Macaca fascicularis: one gene and its partner. The protein of the gene in region 2 purifies or fractionates together with the protein of the main gene of each other region. This does not show direct contact. Links are inferred from orthologs where the notes say so. Each region holds a gene or a part of one and is shown on either strand. Other genes may lie near its edges.

Region 1 (3,655 bases), on a different chromosome or scaffold from region 2:
TTTGTAAATGGAAAGATATTCACAAAATCCTAGGCTATAAGCTATGAGGGTGGGGAATATGATACTTTGCTCAATATTATGTATATAATTAACACATGAGACAGTGTCCAGTCAACAGTGTAAGCATTCAGTATTTCTTGCTTAAAGGAACAACTGTTAAATGAGGGAGAAACGCTACTGACTGTTTCGTATAAATCTAAACTAGGAGAAAAGTGTAGACACAAATTAGCCTAGAAAAAATTCTGAAGATATAGACCTAAATGTTAACACGAAAAACATTGGGTAGAATTATTTTTTTCTTATACTCTATCGGTATTTTTCAATTTATCTCTATATTACCAAGTATTACTTACGAAGTTAGGAAAATTTTCCGTTTATTACCAGCCACTTCTGCTGTTTAAAATAAAATGAATCAGGTTGCCATCCCACATTACTATTCATCTCATACAAGAATATATTTCACTGTAAACATACACCACAAACTTCATTACAAAAACTTTAAAAATATTTCAGAGCTTCCCAACTGAAAAACTGGCATTAAATTTTACATAATGATGAAAATATTCAGATGTGAATAAGCAAAAATGACTGCTGTTTTAAGCAAAATTACAAGACATTACAGTAACACTTAAAATTCCAGGTTTCCAGTAAAATAAAGCTTTCATGTAACCCAAACCTATTTCTAAATTACCTTTTGTTTTTCCCTATAGTCTTCTCCTTCGAAGTTATAAACACTCGACTCTGTATCCATTGTAAAGTTTCTAAGTGAGCTTTCGCCCATCTTGGAGAGCTTTTCATTCATCTCTGCAGTCTAGAGAACAAAACAATCAACTTCTTAGATTCACAACAAAGAAAGCATGAAACCTGCAGTCAAAATAAATTAACTTCAGGTACACAAAAGCTTTTTTGTTAGGGAAATAAAATTATTTATCAATGTAACAAATATTTCCTGTTTCTGGTCTAAAACATTCTATATTAAAAGCATTATTTAATCTACATCTCACCTTCTTTGCACCTCTTTCCAAAATACCATCAATATCTTCATCAGTGATCTCACTTTCCTTTGAAGCAAACACATGTGTTGCCCCATGTCTAATCATTTGAAGCATTTCATCTTTCCCAATTTTGTTCAGATTCTGATCCACAAGCCTCCCTGAAAAAAGATTGTGTTGTATAATGTTAACTGAACAGACTTTATTTTACTGGAAACTTGAAATTCTAAATGTAAGGTTTAATGCCTTATAATTCTGTCTCAAATGTCAATCATTTCTGTTTACTGTTTATTCACATCTGATAATTTTCATTTTTGCACTAAATTTAATGCCAAATTTTCAGTTGGTAAGCTACAAAACATTCCTAAAGCTGATATATTATATAATGAACCCTACTGTATACTGTGTCAATGAAATATCTTTTGTGAAAGCTGCATATGATGAAGTTTTCAAAAACCTACAAGTTTCAACAGATGGAAGCATTATGTATTACACAAGTTTCTGATGAGCAGAAAGGTGTTATTACTAATACTCCTCAAATCAGCTTTTTCTCCTTAGAAAAGTGAAAAATCCTTCCCACAGGCCAAACTTTACACAGAACTGAAATATGTAACATCAGTTTCTTTTTAAAGAAAACTTCCAGAAGAACTGGAACTCCTAAAAACTTATTTTATTTGTTTATTTCTTTGAGATGCAGTCTTGCTCTGTTGCTTAGGCTGGAGTGCAATGACAGGACCATAGTCACTGCAGCCTTCAACTCCCTGCTCAAGCCATCCTCCTATCTCAGCTTCCCAAGTAGCTAGGACTAAAGGCATGCACTACCACACCTGGTGAGAAAATGTATCTGGATCATCAAAGAAACTCATCATTAATAAATTACTAAAGATTTTCAGTTGGCAGGAATTTGGACAACCTTGTAATTTGTGTTTTCAAAAATACAGACATAAAAACAAAAACAAAAACCCAGAAAGACTTGTTTTCACCCACCTCAAGGGTCACTCACATACATCTAAACAAAGCTTTGATTTTTATACGCCAACCAACTTGTAATTAAGTGGAAAAAGATCCAAGTTTTCAACAACTTCTTTAAATACTTGTATCATGGTTTGGGGCCCATAACAGAATATACAACCAAACATCTGTGACTTTGAAAGTGAGGCAATATCCAGAAAGTACGTTTCTTTGGATTGGATGCTGCCATTGCTACCAAAATGGTCTCATGCTTATACAAGCTACTTCCAAGTTGGGCAGAGAGGGAACCTTCAGATGTAAAGTGCTTGTGTACTCTCATTTTCAATTATGTTCCTCAAATAAAAAACAGTAACACAGAGGTATGTACTTAAGGCTTGCTGTTTGACTAACATGTCTACAAATGGCACAAGAAAGCTATTAGCCTGAAGGTTTGCTCCAAAAATTGCCACAGTAAATATGAAGTAAAAAACCTCAAGATTTCTAAATTTATGAATCAATTAAGGTTTTTTAATCTTTAAAAAAAAAGTGTTTCAGACAGGCGTGGTGGCTCACACCTGTAATCCAGCACTTTGGGAGGCTGAGGTGGATCACCTGAGGTCAGGAGTTTGAGACCAGCCTGGCCAACAAAGTGAAACCCTGTCTCTACTAAAAATACAAAAAAATTAGCCAAGCACCACTGGTGGTGGGCATCTGTAAACCCAGCTACTCAGGAGGCTGAGGCAGGAGAATTGCTTGAACCCAGGAAGTGGAGGTTGCAGTGAGCCAAGATCGTGCCATTGCACTCCAGCCTGAGTAACAAGAGCAAAACTCCACCTCAAAAAAAAGTGTTTAATGGATGAAAATAACTGAGAACAAGAAGCACATGGCAGGTGTTTTTCAAAACACACAGATGTGTGAAGAAAAATAAAACATTAGCCATTTTATCACCCATGAGATAACCTCATGGGTTGGTAGCCTCGAGAAGCCCCCAAAGGCCTTCCTAATTAAATACTTAATAGTTAACAAAGTTCTTGGTCCCCTTGAGTCACTTCCCAGCTGTATGTACAATGAACAAGTAATTTAACCTCTCAAAAGCCTTTACCTCTGATGCTAACATCTCAAGTTGGCATGAAGACTAAAGGAGAAAATGAAATGTTCACACTGCCTGGCACAAAGTAAACACTTTATTAACGGAAACAATTTGTAAAAATAAGCAATAATTTATTGTCTTTAGGTATGCAATAGCATTAGGGATACCAAAGACATGAAAAATACTCTCTTACATGGAAATAAGAGACTGACAAAATCAAGACACCTACATAATCAGTAAACAATGTAACAATATGCCTTTCAGCTTTTTAGACAGATAGTAAATATATGCTCACAATGCAGTTACAAAGGAAACTAATGAACATTTGAAGTTATTAAGTTTCCCACCCCTTTTCTTGAATTTTATATTTCCCATCATCAACTTTACAGTAAGTTTCATGAAAACATAAACTATGTCATCCTTAAAAGTTGATCTGGAATGAGAACTTAAGTTTCCTTCAATCGATTCAAAATAAAATCCCACTCTCACCCCCTACTCCTACTTATACCTTGTTTACTTCATCTGCCCTCCCAACTAAATTGTAAACTCTTTTAAAGTAAGAATACTTGAATGTTCCATTTACCACTGAATTCTCAACACCAAGAACAGTGCCTAGCATCTG
Region 2 (3,655 bases):
GAAGGAACCTGGTACCTGGTGTATCACAAATGCAGACTGTTCTTCTATGCTGAATCCTCCAAAATACCAGCCCTCCACCTCTCTCCTCCTTCACACTGGTTTATCGGCACTCAGAACAAGAACCACTGTCCTGTTAAATAGGCCACTGAGTCAGCAACATCTGGATCCCTTTCCCCTACCCCGACTCCAAGAACCAGCGATGTGTTTATCCCACCTGTTGCCCATTCCCATCCTCACCTCCATAGTAGTAATCATCAGAGGAGTGCTTCCTCTTCTTCTTGTGTGTGTCCGTCCCCAAGAAGTAAAGTTCGCTATCCTATAATTAAAGAAGAAGAATTGACCAATAATAAGATGATGAGGCAAATGCAGTTTGGAACCACTCTTGTCTTTGATGATTTCTGACTTTGGGAAACAAAGCACAAGAAATAATAAAAACAGATGCACACAACATTTTATTTTTCTTTTCTAAAGTTATTAAAAAACACTTCCTTCTTCAAATATTAGGAAATATGGTAAGAAGTAGTTTAAGACTTTCCTGGTGCAGTGGTTCAGGCCTGTAATCCTAGCACTTTGGGAGGCTGAGGCAGGTGGATCATTTGAGGTCAGGAGTTTGAGACCTGCCTGGCCAACATGGTGAAACCCTGTCTCTAATAAAATACAAAAATTGGCCGGGCTTGGTGGCAGGAACCTGTTAATCCCAGCGACTCGGGAGGCTGAGGCAAGAGAATCGCTTGAACCCGGAAGGTGGAGGTTGCAGTGAGCAGAGATCACGCCACTGCACTCCAGCCTGGGCCACAAGAGCAAAAAAACCCTCTGCATCAGAAAAAAAAAAAAAAAAAAAAAGGTAGTTTAAGACTTTCCTAATTTAAATTTTTAGGACTTACCTTCAACTTCTTCTTGGAAGAATTCCTGACCTGAGCAGCAATTTCTTCCTCTTCCCTTAAAAAATCTTTGTAAGAACGTTTTTTCTCTCGTTGGCTTCGGCCAGCTGCAAGTCCTATGTCCTCAAAGGTATGATCACCATCAAAACAATCTGAGAAGCACAGGTTTATTTGGGAAAGGAAATGAGAAAGTCAAGTAAGTAACGACCAAATCACCATGCAGGTAATGCAACAGTTCCTCTATTTCCAAATTAAAACAATGTTTCAATCAAGTCCACTGAAATACAGGGCTAGACCCAGGGGAACAGAATATTTCTTGATGACCTGGCTGCAAATACAAGAATCAAACCTGAAGAAACAATGTTTCCACGCTATGCAAAGGCCCCATGTGCGACCTCAGATATGATTTCTTAGTTGTGATTTGGTAGGTGGACACAGACTTGCAGACGAAAGGCTGAAAAGAATAAGGATTCATGATTCATGTGCTGTGCTGCTCTCTGTGGGAGTCCAGGATGTGATTCCTATCCCCAGACTCCTGCACACTGGAGCTGGCAAGGACCAAGAGTGCTGCAGGGGATCACCCCAATAAACTAAGAGACTCATATTTCAGACTCTCGTGTTGGAACCCCTGTCCTGGTTTTCGTTTCCATGGGCCCAGTCTGGGGATGGCGTGGAGGCTGAGTGTCATAACAGTGCTCTAGACCATCACTTGGGAGTCCAGGCTGTGGTGCCCAGTCCTGGTCTCTATATCCATGGGCTGCAAGGATTGAAGAGGATACCCCCTTTGGAATGCTTCTCAGATTATGGGGTCATACCTTCTTTCTTCACGGAGTCATCATAAGCCATGGTGGTCCTGCAGGGCCTTTGAGAATGTGTCACTGTGTCCAGGCTCCTTCCCGTCTACAGGACCAGGTCTGAGAAACAAAGAAGGAAAACCCTCCTGTAATGCGAAATCAGAGGAGAAGCAACCTTCCAGATGGAAATGTGTAGTGATCCAAGGGCCGACTGGAAGGGCAGCAAGAAATAAAGGAGTGTCTTGTCACCTCCTCATTCTCTTTGTAAATATAGTGGGGTTGATACTGCAGGAAGTACACTAGGCTTAATTAGATTTCAGTCATGAATTAAAGTTGTCATTTGGGGAAGTATATAAAATACCTCCAATACAAAAAATATTTTCAAAATTAATGAGAATTTCTGAAATGCCAACAGGACTGACAACACTGAGACAGGGTAGAAACCAACATTAAGTTAGAGGGATAGGTTCAATCTTGGTTATAAAATACACAGGTAAAGCAAGATGCAGAGAAGACAGATCACACCAAACATTTGAAGACCATAAAATCCTACCAACTGGATTGGTGAACTGGTAACATCTATTGCATTGTAATTTAAACAGAAATGATTAACTGTATAGGAATATTAAATATCTTTAGAGCATAATTTCTTTTGCATTTTGGGGGGGGGTTACATGAATTTGTTCAAATTTATGTAATTGTAAAAGCAGGTACACTCCTTACATCAGTTGACCATGTGACAGCTGTCACCACCACCAAGGCTTTCTTAAAGGCTAGGTGAAAATGGAGATATTTATCATTTGTCCACTGGTCATAAAACTTTTATGATTAATAAGATCTTCACTAATAAGAATTGCTATAATTTAAATGTTCTAGATATTGTATTGAGTTTTATTGAATTTTTACAATCTTTTTTTGGCATTTGAGTTTATATGTCCATTTTGACTTTGACGATAACAATGCTATAAAATGCACTGTAAGTTTTTTTTTTTTTTTTTCTTTTTTTTTGAGACAGTCTTGCTCTGTTGCCCAGGCTGGAGTGCAGTGGCAGTTTCGGCACACTGCAACTTCTGCCTCCCAGGTTCAAGTGATTCTCCTGCCTCAGCCTCCCCAGTAGCTGGGATTACAAGCACCTGCCACCACGCCCAGCTAATTTATGTATTTTTAGTAGAGATGGGGGTTTCACCATCTTGGCCAGGCTGGTCTTGAACTCTTGACCTCATGATCCACCCGCCTCAGCCTCCCAAAGTGCTGGGATTACAGGTGTGAGCCATCGTGCCCAGCCAAGGTAAAGTTCTTTAAAAGTTTTAAGAACAAGTAATGTCACAAGTCCTTCAGGAAATTTAAAATTACATATTAAATATTTTGGCAATGTTCTCATCCAGTTAAGTCAGATGCTTACAAAGTTAATCTAATTGATCATTTATTTAAATTTAATTTGACCTTCATTATTATAAGGGGACTTAGAAATACTGAAGGACACTTAAATGACACATTACTAATTCCTTCAGGCAACTGTGGACAATACTGAAGCATGGAACTTTTGTGAAAGAAAAGATGAATTTGATTAACAAGGGAAGCTTTCATAAGTTACATTAAAAAGACTTATTTGCACAAATCAGATAAAATACAATGTACAGGTAGGCCTGAATAGGAAAATGAAGCATTACGAAGAACGATTTATAAGAAAAGAAACATAAAGCATTTCTTCACTTCTCTGAGAAGTGAAATAAAGAATGGATTTGGTCAAAGTAACAGAAGCTAGAGTAATGAAACTACATTAACTGGATTGTTTTAAAGATAAACTGGAGAACTGCCTGTTCGAAGGGCCTTTTCACAGGAAACGAAGGGGACATAAGGTCAGGCCTCAGATAAAAATGTGAGGAGGCAAGATACATAATGTAGCCAGTTTTTCATGTTCCAGCATTTAAGGATGAAAGTTTCTCAGTGGAAACTACTGTCCTCCCCTTTCCACCCAAG

The links. Proteins that work in one complex are often made in the same cells at the same time.
Region 1: the proteins of HMGXB4 (region 2) and SMARCA5 purify together in Homo sapiens (affinity purification with mass spectrometry; 3 studies listed by BioGRID and IntAct, with this or other methods). This does not show direct contact. The link is inferred for Macaca fascicularis from reciprocal best matches to the Homo sapiens genes HMGXB4 and SMARCA5.

The regions. Positions count from the first base shown.
Region 1 is NC_088379.1:148,651,836-148,655,490, reverse strand, and holds part of SMARCA5 (SWI/SNF-related matrix-associated actin-dependent regulator of chromatin subfamily A member 5), read right to left. Parts: intron 1,154-3,655; coding exon 1,005-1,153; intron 812-1,004; coding exon 692-811; intron 1-691. UniProt on the Homo sapiens protein: ATPase that possesses intrinsic ATP-dependent nucleosome-remodeling activity.
Region 2 is NC_088384.1:16,408,311-16,411,965, forward strand, and holds part of HMGXB4 (HMG domain-containing protein 4), read right to left. Parts: intron 1,796-3,655; 5' UTR 1,728-1,795; coding exon 1,697-1,727; intron 1,034-1,696; coding exon 885-1,033; intron 317-884; coding exon 238-316; intron 131-237; exon of another isoform or gene 16-130; intron 1-15. UniProt on the Homo sapiens protein: Negatively regulates Wnt/beta-catenin signaling during development.